2 linked regions of the Caenorhabditis elegans genome follow. The protein of the gene in region 1 purifies or fractionates together with the protein of each later gene. This does not show direct contact. Each region holds a gene or a part of one and is shown on either strand. Other genes may lie near its edges. The genes, in order: Y48B6A.13 and Y54E5A.2.

Region 1 (9,570 bases):
CAAAAAATTATTTTTTGGCCAAAAAAAAGGACAGTCATTTGATGGCTGAAAAAACAATTGGGCAAAAATAAAAAGTTGTCTAAATTTGTTAGAAACGGGTAATTCATATATGTATAAATCAGAAAAACTAGATGAAACCCGTCAAAAACTATTAAAAAGTGGCAAAAATGGCAAAAAAGTGGCAAAAAATCACAATTTTGAAACTTCTCTAAAATAATTCATTTTGTAGCTAGATGACTCAAAATTGATTTCAGAACCCTAAAAAGTTGTCTTTTTTAAAAATATAGTAGTTTTAAACATTTTTAGAAAAATAATTTTTTGTGCCGAAAAAAAAGGACAGTCATTAATTAGATGGCTGAAAAATTGGACAAAAATGAAAAGTTGTCTAAATTTGTTAAAAACGGGTAATTCATATATGCTGAATTCAGAAAAACTAGGTTTAACCCATCAAAAACTATTAAAAAGTGGCAAAAATGGGCAATTTATGGCAAAAATTCACAATTGTTAAACTCTTATAAAATGGTTACCGGCTTCCAATGCAATAGGGCGCAAAAAAGGTATATTAAAAAATATGCATATTTCCAGAATCCGGCACCAAATGAATACCAACTACCCACCACCACCCAGCCACGATCACCATGGCCATTAACTCTTCCAAGAGAAGTAAAACTTATTTTAAGTTCGTGTATCACGTATCCATATGCGAGTGAGAAAAATCGCCATATTTTACGCGCAAAAAGCACCTGCGTCTCTTTTTCTCGCACGCTGTCTAACGCCTATGCAAAACGCCTATGGTGAGAGAGCGTGTGGAGAAGAGAGAGCTGGCGTTCTCATCAAATCATGGATACGTAATAATCAATTGTGAACGCCAAAAAATCTATTACGGGAACACAAAATTTGAAGAATGCGTATTGCACAACATATTTGACGCGCAAAATATCTCGTAGCGAAAATTACAGTAACTCTTTAAATGATTACTGTAGCGCAATTTAGAAAATTTTGAAAATCGAAAAATTCAACAGTTTTCTGAATTAAAATTTAGTTAATCAAATTTAAAATTATTCAATTATCAATATTCTATCGATAAAAAAATTATTTTAATCCATTCGATCCCGTAAATCGACGCTACCGTAGTTTTCGCTACGAGATATTTTGCGCGTCAAATATGGCGTGCAATAATGGCAATAAATACCTGATTTTATATGTTCTCAATTTTGGTACTTGTGTATTATTTCCCCTCATTTTAATATTATCCATTTTAATGAAGATAATAGAAATGTCCTAAATTGAATTTTTTCCGCGGATATAACTTAAACTTTCGAAAAAAATCTGTTTTTTAGAATTGATTCTGAGACAACACACACTTATAAATAATTACGAGCATTATAATTTTGAGTCTTCTATTCACTGAAATACATGTTTTAAAAAAAAGATAGTAGAAATGTTCAAAATCGAATTAATTTCAAACAAAAAAATTTTTTTCTCCGAGCTTTTTAAAATTTTCAGACATGGCTCTGAGACAACACAAACTTATAAATAATTACGAACATTATATTTTTGAAATTGTATGTCACTGAACTAAATTTCAAACAAAAAAAGAGAGCATAGATTTGTCAAAAATCCAATTTCTACGAACTTTTTAAAATTTTCGAAAAAAAATCTGTTTTTTCAGACATGGCTCTGAGACAACACAAACTTAGAAATAATTACGAACATTATATTTTCGAAATTGCTCCAGTTGTTGAGCCGCTCCGATCTCTGAAAATTCGTAGAGTTTTTATTTATTTTTTTCAGAATTGTTTTTTATATTTTTTTTTGTATATTTATCAACAAATATTAAATATCAAATTAATTCATATATTCTATCTATATTTAAAAAACAATAAAAATTCAACAAGAACAACAATAATTATAAAAGATTCCTATTCCTGAGGCCCGCCACCCATTGGGCTCATAATTAATTTGGAGCATTTCGTCGTCGGCTCCGCTGGGACGTCAAATTGCTCGGCGAGCTCTTTTCCAATGACTTGTAGATCTTCTGAAGGGACTTGGATAGTTTGGAGCACAGCTTTCAGGAATTGAGACGCATTTTCTCTGAAAAAAAAATATTTGTTTTTAATATTTTTCCTCAAAAATCAATTTTTTCCACCACCTACTTTTGCACAATAACACACGCATTCGGACCGGCGTCAAATGTATAAGCAGCTCGAATTCCTCCAATATTAAACTCTTCAACTGTGTCGATTAACTGCCACGATGCTTCATTCAAATACCGAATTGGCGGCGTAGAATCCATGCAAACCGCGTGGAATTGATTGCTATCGGCCATGATGACGCGTGCGAGCTGCTCGAAATTCCGTGAAGTATACGCTTCCTGGATTTGTTGGATTCGTTGAGGAACTATCGATTCAATGCGATGCTTGAGAAGTTGAGATGTTTCTCGTGATCTTCGCATTCCTTCACTGGAGCCCACTTTTTTGCGGCCATCGTCGAAGACTAGAATTATGCAGTAGAGATCTTCCCAGTTGGCGGCGGCTTCTGTTCTCTGGAAATATAGTTTTTATTTTTTTAAATTTAATTTTTTTAATTGATTTATTTTTAATTTTCCGTAAAATCGAAATATACAAATTTTTCAAATTTTTAGTTATTTTTTGAGAAAAAAATCGAAACTTTTTTCACTTTTCCAGGGTTTTATTATCTGAAAATTCATTAATTCAGTTATAATCTCTACATTTTTCAGAAAAATTATTATTTTTTAAAACCAGAGGTGATGAAGAGTTATAAAATTTTTCGAAAATTAATTAAAAAAACCATTTCTGGCCGCCAAATTAAATCGGTGGCCGAAGTTTTTCCAATGGTTGATTTTTTAAAGGAAACTTAATACGAGTACACTGAACTCTAAGAATGCGTATTGCACAACATATTTGACGCTCAAAATATCTCGTAGCGAAAACTACAGTAACTCTTTAAATGACTACTGTAGAGCTTGTGTCGATTTACGGGCTTTCGAACAGAAATTCGTTTCGAAAATCGAGCCCGTAAATCGACAGTCATTTAGAGAGTTACTGTAGTTTTCGCCACGAGATATTTTGCGCGTCGAATATGTTGCCTAATACGCATTCTCAGAATTTAGTGTTCCTGTAATAAGTTCCCTTAAAAAAATCAAAACCATTGAAAAAGCCTCGGCCACCGATTTAATTTGGCGGCTGGAATTGATTTTTTTTCAATTTTCGAGTATTTGTATAACTCTTCGTCTGCTCTGTTTTGGTTTTTTCTCATTTTTGGGAAAATTTTCAAATTTTTGATTGTTTCCGCTTTGTGCTCGGTTTTTATTTTCTAATATATGACCTTTTTCACTTAAATTGAGTTTTCAGACGAAAAATTCTGAAAAAGTGAACAATTTTTCTTTTTTTTTTCTCAGAAAATGACTAAAAATGTGGAAATTTTCCAATTTTTGATTTTACGGAAAATCAAAAAAAAAAAAGTTTTTGTAAAAAAATTTCTGAAATAAAAAAAACGGAAAAAAATCCTGATCACTGCAACTTTTTCCTCACGAGGGACGAGGAAAAGTGGTTTCTAGGCCATGGCCGAGGGGCCGACAAGTTTCAGCGGCCATTTATCTTGTATTGTTTTCCGCTTGTTTTCTTTCGTTTTTCATCGATTTTTTTCGTTTTTTCTTAATAAAACTGATAAATAAATAATTTTGCAGATGCTAAAACAATTTCCAAGTAAAAAAAAGTGTATTCAGTGGGCAAGCAGCGGTGAAAGTGGGCAATGTAAAATTATGGATTACGGGAATACAAAACCTAAACTTTTTCTGAAACATGATACATATGCTGCTTAAATGCTGAGACTACCTGATTTTCATAACGAGACCGCTGAAAAAGTTTTGAGGTTTCCAAAATTCAACTTTTTTGGTGAAAAAGTCGAGATTTTCGCACAAAAAGTTGAATTTTAAAAACCTCAAAACTTTTTCAGCGGTCTCGTTATGAAAATCAGGTAGTCTCAGCATTTAAGCAGCACATGTATCATGTTTCAGAAAAAGTTTAGGTTTTGTATTCCCGTAATCCATCATATTGCATTGACCACTTTCACCGCTGCTTGCCCACTGAATACATAATTTTTTTACTTGGAAAATGTTTTAGCATCTGCAAAAAGTATTTATTTATCAGTTTTAATAAGAAAAAACGGGAAAAATCTGTGAAAAACAAAAGAAAACAGGCGGAAAACAAAGCAAGATTAATGACCGCTGAAATTTGTCGGCCCCTCGGCCATGGCCTAGAAACCACTTTTCCTCGTCCCTCGTGAGGAAAAAGTTGCAGTGTGATTTTTAGAGCTTTTTTTGTCATTGTAGAGTAAAAAAAGTGCCAAAATCTCGATTTTTTGCTCCAAAAATTCCAATTTCCACTGAATTTTCTCGACTTCCCGTACCACAGCCAAACAATCCGATCCATCATCCATCTCCCCTTTCCTCCAATGCACCAATCCTCCATACATGCTCCGGCAGGCACTTCCTGATCCAATTCTTGCGAGCCGATTCGCTTGAGAATCATCTAGTCGTAGAATCCGTTGAATTGCCAATGCAATTGCAGCAAATCCGGCGGCCGAGGATGCCAGCCCAGCTGCAACCGGAAAATTCGTAGTCGAGGTGACGTGGAAATGGTAGAAGATCGGCGGAGGATCATTTCCATTTGAATCCGCCGATGATGCTTCTGCTTCTTTTCGTTTCCTCTGAAGTCGGAGAGCCTCATCGAAGACTGTTTGGTATCGTTTGTTGGAGCTCAGTTCCACTGATTTTCCATTTATTTCTACCTGGAAAATGGAGAATTTAGGAATTTTCTGAAGAGTTTTTTGTGGCTATTTTGAGAAATCAGTGAAAAATTTAAAATTTTTAATTCAGGTTCCGCGGAAAATCACGCAATAATTTTTCCTAAAATTGCAAAAAAAATTCAAAAAATAAAAAATTTCAGCTTGAAAATAATTTAATAATTTTACTTCCGAAATGTCGAAAATATATTTTTCAAAAACAAACCCTTATTTTAAAGAATTATAGATCAAGAGTCAGTGGAAAATCTGGAATTTCAGAGTTTTTTCTGTGATTTTCATTATTTTAAATTTGAAAATATCGAAAATATTGGAAAAATCAAATATTCTAATAGAAAAAGTTGTTTAAAAAAAAAACTCAAATTAATTTAAATTCCTGAAAAAAATTGAAATTATCCCAATTTTTTACATTTTTATTCGAGAACCCAAAGCATAATATTTTTCTCGGAATTTTAGAAAAAAGTCTAAAAATTAAAATTTTTACAAAATTAATTTTTTTGAAAAATGTGAAAACATTTAAAGGTGGTGTAGTCGAATTTTTTTAGTGCTTTGTTAGACTCAAAATTGTCTGAAAACACCGAATTTCATAATGAAACTTCTTGAAATCTTTTCAGAAAAAAGTTATGACGGCTCAAAAAATGGCTTAAAGTTAGTTAAAATCGGAAACTTGACTTGTCAGCGGCTGGACACAGTTTTTTTTTGAAATCACCGTAAAATTTGAAGTGTACAAGTTGATTATCTCGCGTTTTAAACTTCATTAAGGTATTTTAAAGTCGATGGACGGCGAGTTTTGGCTCAAATAAATTGAAAATCCATCGCCGTCCATCGATTTTTAAATACCTTAACCAAGTTTAAAACGCAAGGTAATCAACTTGTATACTTCAAATTTTACGGCGATTTCAAAAAAGTAAGTTTCCAGACAATTTCCGATTTTAACTAACTTTAAGCTATTTTTTGAGCCGTCATAACTTTTTTCTGAAAAGATTTCAAAAAGTTTCATTATGAAATTCGGTGTTTTCAGACAATTTTGAGTCTAACAAAGCACTAAAAAATTCGACTACACCACCTTTAAATTTTTTCACATTTTTCAAAAAAATTAATTTTGTAAAAATTTTAATTTTTAGACTTTTTTCTAAAATTCCGAGAAAAATATTATGCTTTGGGTTCTCGAATAAAAATGTAAAAAATTGGGATAATTTCAATTTTTTTCAGGAATTTAAATTAATTTGAGTTTTTTTAAAAAATAACTTTTTCTATTAGAATATTTGATTTTTACAATATTTTCGATATTTTCAAACTTAAAATAATGAAAGTCACAGAAAAAACTCTGAAATTCTGATTTTCCAATGACTCTTGATCTATAATTCTTTAAAATAAGGGTTTGTTTTTGAAAAATATATTTTCGACAAAATTATTTTCAAGCTGAAATTTTTTATTTTTTGATTTTTTTTTGCAATTTTAGGAAAAATTATTGCGTGATTTTCCGCGAAACCTGAATTAAAAATTTTAAATTTCGGGAAAAAATTTTTAAAAAAAGAATTTCAGTATAATACAAAATTTAAAAATTTTGCTTTTTAAAGAAAATATTAAATTTTGAATTTTTTAAGGTTTGTTTCAAAAAAAAATCGAATTTTAATTTTTTTTTTTATTAAAAAAAATGGTTTTTTAATATTCAAATTCATGAAAAACTACGATTTTTGTCTTTTTCACTTTTTAAAAATATTACCGAGACGCGAAAATTACGATTTTCGCGCCAAAAATACATTACCGGGTCTCGCCACGACAAAAATTTTTTTGTTAAAAACAAAAGATGTGTGCCTTTAAAGAGTACTGTAGTTTCAAATCAGAATTTATTGATTTTCCCTAGCGGAAAACTATGAAAAATCAATTTTAAAAAATTCTGAAACTACAGTATCTTTAAAGGCGCATCACATCTTTGCATTTTGCATTTAACAAAAATTCGGTCGTTTCGAGACTCGGGGTACCGTATTTTTTGCGCAAAAATAGCAAACTTCGCTTTTTTGGGTAATATTTATGGCATTTTTTGAGGGAAAAAAGTCATTTTTTCTCAAATTTTTCGATATTTTTCATGGAAACCAGATTTTTCAACAAAAAAAATTTCCCGCTCCAAAATTCCGCGCTACCGTATGCTTCCCAACTCCAGGAACCATCCGAATTGTCGTCTCCGCCGTCAGCCGATCCACGGTCAGTGAAATCGAATCATTGAGCGGCAGAATGAGTAGATCATCTCGTTTTCCCCAATACTTGACAAGTGCAATGTTCATCGGAACTCGGACCGTCGCCTCCGCCTCCGCTGCTCCATCGTCTTGGCTCATTCTGGTGGCAAAAAATCTGAAAAATTGCTGGAAAACGGAGTGACCAAAAAAAGCGGCAAAAATCTGGAAATCCAACAGGAACAAAAAAAAACTGGAAAAATGCCCTAACAAGCTAAATTTACATGTAAATTTATATAATTAAATTTTTGTATAATCTAAAAATCCATAGGATTATGCTATACACGTAGACATTAAGAACTTTGTGAAAAAAAAATGAATTTTTAGGGGTAAAAAGGTAAAATAGGGTGTATTTACGCGGGAAAGAGAGATGGAGAGAGAGACTAGAGAAAAATGCGAAAAAAATTGGGAAAAAAAACGATAAAATAAAAGATTATTCCTCGTCCATCGAGGTTCTTCTCAACACTGGAACCGGGAAACCGTGTTTCGAATCCTTGGCTGGCCATTCGTAAGTCTTATTGATCAGCTCATCATACTCAACACTGTACAGGTTCTGGCGAATGAACATTTCCTGGAAAAATTCAAATTTTTTATAAATTTAAAACTGAAAAAAAAGCACAAACTTTTAACCAATTTTACGAAATTTTTTAACAAATTTTTTGAGAAATTGCTAGTTAAAAATTAATTAAAAATTCTCAAAAAATCCCAAAATTTTTGACAATTTTTTAGGGGAAAATTGCGTTTTTTAACTTCTCATTTTCCTTTTTTTTGAGATTTTTTTCGGAAATTTCGGGTTAAAAATTGAAATTTCTCAAAAAATTCCAAAATATTTGAAAAATTTTAAGATTTTTGACAATTTTTAGGGGAAACTATTATTTTTAGAATCAATTTTTCACTTTTATTTCCAAGTTCAAGGTCAAAAAAATCGAAATTTTCAAAAAATTAAAATTTCCCAAAAAAAAAAAGAAGCAAAATTTCTCTTTAAAAAATTGAAATTTCCAGAAAAATCCGAAATTTCCCGAAATTTCCCGACATTTTCAACCCGAAATTCAGAATCAGCATACTTTAATTAACAATTTTCAGCTCATTTAAACGAAATATCGTAGAATCCGGTGCCAAGTACGCAAACACCGAAGCTCTGCGTACTTCTGAGGCTACAGTAACCCGGAAATTTTCAAAATTGAGCTAGAGACTCCAAAAAAAAGACGACTAGGGGCGAAATTTTACGAGGAACTCGAATTTTGCAGTGTCGATTAATCTGCGGCTCGTGTGTACTCCCCGAGGAGAAGTTTGCGTTGTTTTTGCAAGGAAATTCACGTTTTAGGCTAAAAGTAGTCCATTTTTGCTGATTTTTTGATTTTTAACGATTTAAATCACCTAATTTATTGATTTTTTAAAGTTTTTAGTGAAAATAAATGAATTTACTGCTGAAAATGCACTAGAAACCAGAAAAATCGTACTTTCACCGGAAAAAAACCTATGAAAATGAGCAATTCGAATAGTAAATTCGGAAATTCTCCTCGGGGAGTACACGAACCGCGTAAATCGACACACGGTCATATTTTTGCATTCGAAAAAAAATGTGAAAAATTATATTTTCAGCAGTTTTTTTCGGAAAAATCGTCAGAAATAAGTAGAATTTTTCAATTTTAGGCATAAAATTGTCTAAAAATCATTTTTGAAGGTATTTTTCAAAATTTTTTCATGTTTTTCAGCTAAAAATGCTTTTTTCCATGAAAAATTATTCTTTTCCTCGAGGAGTACACGACTCGCGTAAATCGGTACACGGCCATTTTTTGCATTAAAAAGTGAGGAAAATCAATTTTTTCGGGTGGGGAAAAGTCTTTTTTTGTCATTTTTAAAAATGTTTTTCATCCATTTTTCATGTTTTTTCAGCTTGAAATGCTAGGAAAATCGAAATTTTCCCGATTTTTTCCAAATTTCCACTCAAAAAATTGCTTTTCTCTCCGAGGAGTACACGATTCGCGTAAATCGACACATGGCCATTTTTTGCATTAAAAAGTGAGGAAAATCACTTTTTTTCGGGGAAAAGTTTTTTTTTTTGGTATTTTTCAACAGTTTTTCATGTTTTTTTCAGCAAAAAATGTCTAAAAATTGCAGGAAAATCGAAATTTTCCGACGTTTTTTTTTTTCAAATTTCCACTCAAAAACAACCGCACCATATCATCGGGTTTCGGGTGCAAAGTGGCCAAATCGTGTCGATAACAATACTCGCCAACTTCTACGGCAATTTTCACCGAAAGTTCTCGAATATCCTTCAGACGTGGATATACACGTGAATACGTGTTCAACGACTTCTCCGATACGGCTTCGGCGACCATACGGGCGGCCAGAAGGAACAGCTTGTCCGGAATGTTTTTGGTACGGAAGAGGACGGCTCCGAGAGCAACACCCGGGAAGATGTAGGCGTTGTTTCCCTGTCCTGGCTTATAGAGTTTTCCATTCATTTCGACATTTTCGAACGGGGATCCGGAGGCGAAGAGGACGGCTC
Region 2 (10,128 bases), on another chromosome or scaffold:
TACATTGTCTCTACACAGCAAATTTTCCCATGAAATCTGATTTTTTGTAAAATTTTTGAATTTTTCATCAAAAATTAAGGTACTATAAGGGTATTGAAGGATTACTGTACGGGTACTGTAGGGATACTGTAGAATTATTGTAGTTTGGGAAATTTGAATTTTTAGCTTTAGTAGAGGTATTTTGTTGGGAGTTGGTGGGGATGATGTTAAGGTACTGTAAGGGTACTGTGGGCTTACTTTAGTTGTTTTGTATGATTACTGCAGGCTAAAAATTGACCTTTTTCAGAATATAGTAGTTTTGAACATTTTCAGGAAAATTATTTTTTTGCCCAAAATAAAAAAAAAGGACAGTCATTAGAAAATTTGGGCAAAAATAAAAAGTTGTCTAAATTTGTTGAAAACGGGTAATTCATACATGCAAAATTCAGAAAATCTAGGTTTAGTCCGTCAAAAACTATTAAAAAGTGGCAAAAATGGCCAATTTATGGCAAAAATTCACAATTTTGAAACTTCACTAAAACGGGCAATTTTGTAGTTAGAGGACTCAAAATTGATTTAGGATCACTAAAAAATTGCCCTTTTTCAGAATATAGTAGTTTTAAACATTTTCAAGACAATTATTTTTTTGCCCAAAATAAAAAAAAGGACAGTCATTAGATGGCTGAAAAAAATTTTGGCAAAAATAAAAAGTTGTCTAAATTTGTTGAAAACGGGTAATTCATACACGCTGAATTCAGAAAATCTAGGTTTAACCCGTCAAAAACTATTGAAAAATGCCAAAAATGAGTCATTTATAGTAAAAATCAAAAATTTTGAAACACCATAAATTCATCATTTATTTATAAAATCCGAGTTCTCTCGACAATGTACTAGTGTGAATTAACTGATTTAAGAGTTTTCTCCAAACGCCGTGTCTTCTCTCTGTGCATTAAAATGACGGCAGTGACGAGAAGCAGGAAGAATGCTGAAAATGTTTTATTATTTTTGAGCTGATTCTTTTTTTTTGAAATTCAGCATTTTACTTTCATTAGACGCGATAAGTTTTCAGAAGTATTAAATTATTGGAATTTTTTGTTGTAAATTCTCACTATTTCAATTTTAATTTTCTTCAAAAACTCTTACCAGCAATTGCCAGCGCCCAATAGAATACAGTATTTTGTATTGCAGAAACCTTCTCGTCAACTCTGAAAGTTCGAAATTTGTTATCAAATATATATTCCCCAAAATTCCAAATTCCATGAAAAGCCTCAAAAAATTCTGTAAAATCGATATTTCTGAAATATCCCGAAAATTCTAAAATCAAAAATTTTTTTTAAAAATCGCATTTTTTTGAATTTTTAAACCTTAAAAAAATTTGAAATTTTTCCGACGTTTTTTCGGACGTTTTTCAACTTTTTTTTTAACTATTCAGACTTTTCCAAAAATTATTTGGCAATAAATCAAACTCCAGGAAATTCTGGAAAATCGATAAAATTCCATTATTTTCAAAAAAAACATTAATTTCCCAGAATTTTCCCAACTAGTAGCAATTTTCGAAAAATTCTGAAAATTGAAAAAAATCGAAATTGTTAAATGTTATAAAAAGTTTCAGGGAAAATTGGAAACATTTGAAAATTGAAAATCTGAAAAAGAAAATCTGAAAAATTCCCAAAAAATTTCCAAACTCACTTTAAATTATGAAAAGTGATTCGAACCTTCTTCCGTTCCTTCGCCAAAATCAAATCAATTTTCATGTGCCACGTGGAAAAGTCAAGAATGAGTAGCTCGCCGCCACGTTGCACGGTTCCCTGCAGCAGACACGGGCGGTTCTTATCGTATTTTTTGGGTTTTCGAAGATCAATTCTCCATTTGGCGGACGTGGTTCGCATATCGTGAACTTCTGAATCCATTCGGATACGGAGATGTTGGTGGGCTCCGACGCTGAAAAATCGATAATTTTGCTCCTGATGATGTAAAAGCGCTCTATCGAACAAGTAGGCATTTTTGTGGAATCGATAATAAAAAATCGATATTGTTAATATCGATTGTTCCAGAAAATTTTGCGATAGAGCACAATTGCATCCGATTGACAATAATTTCCTAATCAAATTTAAACATGATCGAGTCCTTATCAATGTCTCCCATTTTGCAATTGCGCTCTACTGAACTAAGGAAGCAAAAACCCACGTCACTTTCATATTATCCATTCCAACGAGCACATCGATAAATTGCACTTGCTGACACGAATCGGAAACTTGCTCCTCGGATTCCACGTGGACGTCTTCCTAAACGTAGGTATGCCTACATGCCTGCCTGTCTACACTGAACTTACCATCGAAATATTGTGGCACTTGGCCCACTCGTAGCAATTCGTCTTTTGAATATTCGACTTGCAGGACTCTAATTCGATGAACATTCCAGACGTGAATTTGTGCCTGGAAACAGCAGTCGTATCAAAAAAACTGTTAATTGCCAAAATGTAGAGAATTCGATTTCCTATATTTTGTCCATTTACAAAATTTCATTAGCTTTGCTTTCCGCAGAGTTATAAGCGTTTTAAGTTTGCAAGGTAAGTGAGAGAGTGTGTGGCGAGGGGAGAGCGCAGACACCGCAGAAACTTTAAAGCGGTGTATCTCAAAATTGAAAAATGCTCAGAATTTCATGCTCTACAAGATGGGCGAAAAAGATTTTGAAACTTTGGAAAAAAAAAAGTTTTTTAGCATTTTTGAGAAAAATTTCAGCGGGCTTTATCTCGGTGGTAATAGGAGCTACATAAAAGTTGTCAACTAACAATTTGTAGAAAATTTTATGTAGTTTATTTTATTAATTAAAACAAATATTCTGCCTCCCACCCACGCAAAAATACACCTGTTTTTATGATTTCTGTAGCTCCGAATCCGTAAGAGCTACAGAAAACTTGTCAACTAGAAATTTCAAGCAAATTTAAAGTAGTTAAGTTGATTAATTGATACTTTCTTCGTATCTCATTTTTGCGCAAAGATATGGGGGTTTTAAAGAAGCTTTTAACCACCTCCCCTCAAAACCTAAAAATTCCCTTTCAACTTACCCAGCAGCCTTGTTAGCTACAATGAACTTTGGCACCAAATCACTTCGGATATCTCTTAAAATATCCTCAAGCACAATTCTTTTCAACAATGACGAGAACAATGGAATTCCCTGATGAGCATACGGAGGGATTGAGAGCAGTCTGTGAAGTTGGTTCAGTGACTCGCTGGGTTGGTTGGGCTGGAAATTGAAATGGTGAGAGGTGATGGGAATTGTAAAACGAACACTTTGTAGAGAATTTAATTTTCTACAAGTTGCTATCATAGATAACAACTTTTTGATATCAAGTATCTGAACGGGATTAGACAGGTTTTGGGCTAGTCTTCTGGGGGAAGTGAAGCGCTATCTCAAAACTCCTATAACTCGGAGAATTTTGTAGGTGCCAAAAAGTAGTTAACTAAAAGTAGTTAATTCTATAAAGAATCTAATTTGCTACATTTTGCTAGCTAACAATACTTTGAGATCTTACATCTGAACGGAGCTAGAAAGCTTTCGAACTATCTTGGAGGAACTCCTGTATCTCCGCAAAGTTACCTAGCTATCAAAAAGTTGGTAATCTGTAGAGAAATTAATTTCCTACAACTTGTCAGTTGATAACTATTTGGTAGCTTGTACTATTACAAAGCTACAGCCACTTCAAATAACTTCCATCTTACCTGCGCTTCCTTTTCCATTTTCCACTTCCTAATCGACAAATGCCCAACTCGGGTGCGAGCGGAATATTGATTTTCATTGAAAATTTTAAATATGTACTAAAAATAAGAGGTGAAAACTGACCAATCACTAGCAGTCTCATAATCATGTCCACAGATTGAGGTGGGACAGCAGCACGCCGAACAGCAACCCCAATCATCCCAGGAGATGAACAATTGAATATTGTTCTTAGTGTCGTTCACAGAGTTTATTGAAATTTCCAGAGACTCGTAGTTTTCGTAGGTGAAGATTTTATCTGAAACTGTATTTTCAATGGAATTCTCTATATTTTGTCATCTGTCAACTAATTGCCAGAATTTTGATATCTTCCTGATAAATTAAAATGAAAGGGTTGTTAACTAGGGATCCATAAAGAACGTTATATGGATTTTGGAATTTCTGAGTTTTTTCCTTAAAAAATGATCACACGAAAAAGTTGCCAACTAACAAAATATGCTCATTAAAATTCTATACATTTCGGCAGTTGACAACTCTTTGATAGCATTCCTCTGCGCAAAGTTACAAGCTTTCAAAGTTTTCCCAATGCGAGAGTGTAGAGGAGAAGGAGAGCGCTGGCAGTGTCTGCACTCTCCCCCTCCTCCGCGCTCTCTCGCTAATAAAACTTCAAAGCGGGGTATATCTCGGCGGGGAGTAGAGATAGAGAAATCATGGAAAACGAAGAAAGAATCAGAATTTGAATTTCTATACGATAAAGTCAATAAAGCTTACCATTCTGCTCTCCGTCCCCAATAATATCCTCATTCACAAAGTTATAGCTGCTCACAATTTTACCATTCAACTCAATTCCACACATTGTAGTAAATCCTTCAATTTTTCGAGAATGAATCTGTAAATTTTTGAGTTTTTCAGAGAGTAAAGTCCTGGAAACCAACCGCCAGCTCTCCATTGGGGAGCCCTATAGCTTCTCTGTCGGTTTCAGTGGCTCCATGCTCTCCACTCCATCTTGTCACCTTTCCAAAATGCAGGTCTGTGGAAGGTGTAGTTTGGCAAAAGATATAAAAAGGAAAACGGCGTCACAGGGACTGGAATCAAAAATGTGCTCACAATAATTTTCAGTTAATTTGGCTCAATTTCGGGATGATTTACAGATATAAGCTAGTTCTAGATAAACTATACAAGCTTCAAAAGTACTAAGCTTAGGGTTTTTAATGGTACTACATTATTTTAAGTATGATGAAGCTATTGTTTATGGTGCATGATTTGTGGATTTTTAAGCAAAATAGCCTGTAAAATTTTGTAAAGAAAGCTCCATCGGCTGCTCAGATACGAGCTTAAACACCAAGTGGCACCAAAAAACTTGCTAAAAGCCATTTACAACTTAAAAAAATAGCCCGCTCAGTAGCTTCATGTCGGGCTTAAAGGTCATAAAAAGTTGAAAATCAAGCTTTTGCAGGTTTCCAGTTATTTCGATGATATGAAAAACAAAAATTACACCACCAAATTACTACATTAAATGTATTTTTGAAACTGAAAAATTTTATGCTTCTTGAAAAAATGAGAATTTTCGGCGAAATTGTCGAAAATCGCAGGGGGGGGGTCCCATAGCAGTTGGGCGGTCGATTTTTCAACTTTTTGCTCTTTTGCACTCAACTTTTGAGATATCATGATAAAATTATAGATCCATAGGTTTTTTGGTATGCTGATTCCAATTCCAATACTAGTTTTCTATAAAAAAGTAGCTGTTGGGTGCACTGTACCTACTAAGCACCTTAGGAGTACCCTTGAGAGATAATGAAGGCTTGTGATATGTATGCTATGCTTAACTAGACTCATTGAATTCAGAAATAAATTTCTGATACTTTGAGGGTAATTTCAGCTAGTTCGTCTAATTTTCAGCCAAGTTAAATAATACACTCACTATTAATTCTCAAGTAATCCTGAAAATTCGAGACACGTGGCTCCTGTTCACAATCCTCCCGACTACAATAGTGCAATAAATTATTGATTTTTCGAGAGCCGATCGTCAATTTCGTGAAAATCTGAGTGAAATCACGTTCCGGGAATACGTAGTACATTTGATGGAGACCTTCAATTATCGGATGACACGTGGCACATTGCGGTTGGTACGGGAGGCCCGCTTCGCGAGTTTTCTGCAAAATAACGTTGATTTTGATGCAGGGGCAGCGTTTTCTGGAGAATTTAAATATCGGGGGAAGGCGATCTCAAAAAAAAAGGGGCGGGAAAAACAATTGAAAATTTACGCTCCGCCCCTATAACAGGTCTAAATTTTGAACTTTTACACTCAAATCTACAAAATTTTATAGAAAAAAAACGGTTTTTTTCATGTGAATAAGCCCGCAAAAGATAATAAAACACGTGGTCAGAGTGTCCCATTTCGGTGTGATCTTCAAAAAATGCGGGAATTGAGTCGCAGATTTCTCAACAAATTTTGTAAGTGTGCTGGCGACACATTTTACTGGGCAAAAAATTTCCGCATTTTATTGTAGATCATTCAAATTTACGCTACGCCTCTATAACATGTCTAAATTTTGAACTTTAACACTAAAATCTACAAAACTTTATGGAAAACGCCTGACACCACGTGTAAAAGTGCGCTTCACCAAATTTATTTTAATCATTTTTTTTTCTCTTTTGCTCATGAAATGAATTTGCTCACTAGAAACATATAAAATCTAGCAGAAAAACAGCTGCATTTGTCTATGATCTTAAAAATTGATTAAAACTGGTCTTGGCACGATTCGCGAGTGTGCAAACGCGCTCCACCGAACTTTTGCCGTTTTTATAGATTTTTAGGCCCGAAAAGCTAAAATTCAACAATATTATATAAAAATTATCGAATAAATAGAAAAAAAAATTAAACCTGAAAAATGCGAAATCCAATATTAAAGAACCCGTTAGAATCACACAATTCCTTTGATATATGAGGAATTCGAAACGCCGGATTCGATATAAAATATGGTAATTTGTGATAAATCGTCTGATTCCCATTTAACCATCCCAGTGAGTCGAATTCCAAGATTTTTCCGTCGAATAGTATATTGTTGTACTTGTGAACGTTCAGGTAATTCTCAAATCTCCACGTGTCTTTTGATAATGGAATTGAGGAGTACAGGGAGTAGAGTTCCGCTCGTCTTTCTGAAAAAAAAACAGTAGATTTGAGACTTTGCAGAAAGGGGCTGCAAACGCGCTCCAGCGAAGAGGTCTCCTTACCAAACTCGATAACAATTCCATGCACTGTCGAAAAAAGCATAAGTTTCAGAAAATTGAACAACAAAACCATGGTTGGTTTGGAGAAATGAAGCAGATTGATTTTTCAATGGATTTAAAAAGTTTTTACGTGATAAATTATTTTTAAAAACATATTTTTTAAATAAATCGTATCGAAAATTTAATTAAAAATTAAATATACCCCGTGAAATTCTCTACATTTTGTTAGTTAAACACTTTTTGATAGCATTTCTCTGCGTGAAGTTGTGAGCGTTTGAAGTTTTTTGGGGTGAGAGAGTGTGGGGGAGGGCGAGAGTGCAGAGAGATATACTGCCTGCACTCTCCTCTCCCTCCACGCTCTCAACACCGAAACTTAGAAGAGGTGTATCTTTGCAGAGAGGAAAGATACAAAAATATTGTAAAAAGGAAAAATGTTCAGAATTTGATTCTCTATATATTGCAATAAAAACAAATTGTTCGGAGTTTTTTTTAGTTTCTTGTTTTTTTTTCCTGAAATTCAAACTAAAAAGTGTATTTGAGCAGTGTTTTGCTCTACAAAGATATTCTGCATTTATTGGGTAAGAGCCAAAAGTGCCATATCTAACCGGAAGCTTATTCTACCAAATTTTACTTAACTAACAAAATATACGCCTTGAAATTCTGTACATTTTTGCAATTTACAATATTTTAATTGCACTCCTCTGCTCAAAGTGACAGGCGTTTTAAGATTGGCGGGTGAGAGAGCGCGAGGGAGGGGGAGAGTGCAGACACTGCCTGCGCTCTCCCCCTCCCCCACACTCTCTCACCCGCCAAAACTTCAGCGTGGTGTAACTCGGCGGGTAGGAAAGATAGAGAGGTAGTGTAAAAGACAAGAATGTGTAGAATTGGATTTTCTACTGGATAACGTTTTGAGTTTTAGCATTTATGAAATTTATGAAAAATGAATGTTTGAATTTGAATTTTCAATTTTTAGTTTTCCAAATGATATTTCATAATGTTTCCGTCTAGTTTTCATTATCAATTTCCCTATACTCTACTGTCTGAAACTGTTTGTTTTACCACGAAAATGACCAATACCTAGTGAATCATTGGAAAAAAAGAGCATCGCTTCCCTCTCCCGTCTCGCTCTCAAAACACACACACACACAGTTCCTTCCTTTCTATTTGCATGTATAGTTGCATTCTCTACGCAATAAGTCCACCTTTCCGTATGTGTGTGCTCCAAGAGCAACGGAAACTGGATTCAGGTGGTTGCTAACCAACCAATTTCCCCCTCTGGCTTTTCATCCTATAAGGTTTCCAATTTATCACTTTTTGTCTCAGAGAGCATATGTGCCTTTGAATTTATTGAAAAATATAAATTTTTAGTTTGAAAATGTGCAACCTTTGCTAGATGTTTTGCTTTAAAAAGCACTCGCGCTATTTTTTACTTGTTTGTGCGTGGTTTTACGAATTTTTAACTAAATATTTCTTAAGCCCCCTATATCTTCCTGAAAAATGAAGATATCAAAATTTTCTCAGCCAACAAAATATTCTCCTCAAAATTCTCTACATTTTTGCAGTTATCATTGTTTCTCTACCTCTTTTTTCCACAGAGTTACACGCGTTTCAAATTCGACGGGGTGAGAAAGTGTGGGGGAGGGGAGTGCGCAGACACTGCGCTCTCTCCCTCTTCCACACTCTCTCGCCTTCAAAACTTTGAAGCGGTGTATCTCTGCAAGTAAGATAGGTAGAAGCATACTGTAAAAGCAAAATTGTGTAGAATTAGATTTTCTAAAAGATTGTAAAGTTTTGGAAATTTTTTTTTTTTTAATTAAATGTTTTTTTTTTCAAAATTTTCAAAAAGTTACACCACTTCTCAATGTAACTCAATTCCAAATTCCTCTTCAAGTCTATCCAAAGATCATATTGTACCTGGATTGGAATGTCTCTATAGTCCCTGCGCACTCTTTGCTCTCAAGAACAAATACATCACTACGTGTGCCTTATAGTCTGTTTCTCTGCTGCTCTCCTGCTCTCTCCTTTCCTGATTCATCATATTCGTGTTCTTATCATTTTTAAGACGTGATCTTATCACACAAAAACTGCCCATTTTAATGTGTTCCGAAAGAAAAATAACCGCCCATTGATTTTCTTTTTGTGCAGGAATTTGTAGAGGTGATTTACACGGTTTTTTTTAATTTTTATTACTGGAATTTTGAATTTAAATGGTTTTTTTTGTCAAAATTTAGTTATTATTAGTTTTTGAAAATTTAACAAAATCAAACCCCCAAAAAAATCATTTCACAAAATTTGTTTCAAAATTTTCAGAATTCAATTCACTCCTCTTGTAGAAAATCCAATTCTACACAATTTTTCCTTTTACAGTGTTTTTCTATCTTTCCTACCTGCCGGGATACATCTCTTCAAAGTTTCTTTAGCGAGAGAGCGTGGGGGTGGGGGAGAGCGCAGGCAGTGTCTGCACTCTCCCCCTCACCGCGCTCTCTATTTAAAATTTCTACTTTTCAGATCTCAAAACTGCTCTTAAAATGGGGCAATCAGTGAGTCGAGATGATTTTATTTGGACGTTAACAGAGCAGCCACATATGAGTAGACGAGAGGAAATTGTGAAAAAGTACCCAGAAGTTAAAAAGGTGAGTTTATATTTTAAAACGTATGAGCATTTTCTGAAACTGAAAATTTTAGCTATTCGGCGTTGATCCATCTCTAAAATACGTGGTGTCTAGTTTGGTAATATTTCAAATTTTTATGTGTTGGTTATTACAAGATGCTGATTGGATATTAATAATACTTGAAGCCTACTTTTGCGGTGGAATAATCAATCACGCAATGACACTTGCCATCCATGATATTTCACATAATACGGCTTTTGGTAATAAGTACCCATTGAAAAATCGATTTTTCGGAATGTGGGCAAATTTGCCGATTGCTGTGCCGATATCAGTGTCTTTTAAGAAGTATCATGTGGAGCATCATCGATATTTGGGTAAGTCCATTGTGTAAAAAATAAAATTCTGGACTTTTTTGCCTCTTACTGTAATTTTCTATCTTACCTCCTCGCCGAGATAAACCTCTTTGAAGTTTTGGCGGTGAGAGAGTGTGGGGGAGGAGGAGAGCGCAGGCAGTATCTGCACTCTCCCCCTCCTCCGCGCTCTCTCATCCTGGCAAACTTAGAACGCCTGTAACTTTGCGCAGAGGAAC

What was found.
Region 2: the proteins of Y48B6A.13 (region 1) and Y54E5A.2 fractionate together in Caenorhabditis elegans (co-fractionation; one large-scale study listed by BioGRID). This does not show direct contact.

Annotation. Positions count from the first base shown.
Region 1 is NC_003280.10:14,219,100-14,228,669, forward strand, and holds Y48B6A.13 (Diphosphomevalonate decarboxylase), read right to left. Parts: upstream 7,177-9,570; 5' UTR 7,161-7,176; coding exon 6,969-7,160; intron 4,813-6,968; coding exon 4,432-4,812; intron 2,546-4,431; coding exon 2,157-2,545; intron 2,095-2,156; coding exon 1,923-2,094; 3' UTR 1,840-1,922; downstream 1-1,839. Other genes in the region: men-1 (Malic enzyme), read right to left, coding at 7,492-7,629, 9,239-9,570.
Region 2 is NC_003279.8:14,691,042-14,701,169, reverse strand, and holds Y54E5A.2 (Recep_L_domain domain-containing protein), read right to left. Parts: upstream 7,017-10,128; 5' UTR 7,001-7,016; coding exon 6,931-7,000; intron 6,856-6,930; coding exon 6,581-6,855; intron 5,850-6,580; coding exon 5,618-5,849; intron 4,727-5,617; coding exon 4,632-4,726; intron 4,586-4,631; coding exon 4,468-4,585; intron 3,995-4,467; coding exon 3,823-3,994; intron 3,730-3,822; coding exon 3,702-3,729; intron 3,226-3,701; coding exon 3,047-3,225; intron 2,415-3,046; coding exon 2,312-2,414; intron 2,265-2,311; coding exon 2,167-2,264; intron 1,921-2,166; coding exon 1,669-1,920; intron 1,185-1,668; coding exon 1,123-1,184; intron 965-1,122; coding exon 870-964; 3' UTR 778-869; downstream 1-777. Other genes in the region: ttm-5 (Putative sphingolipid delta(4)-desaturase/C4-monooxygenase), read left to right, coding at 9,456-9,560, 9,613-9,913.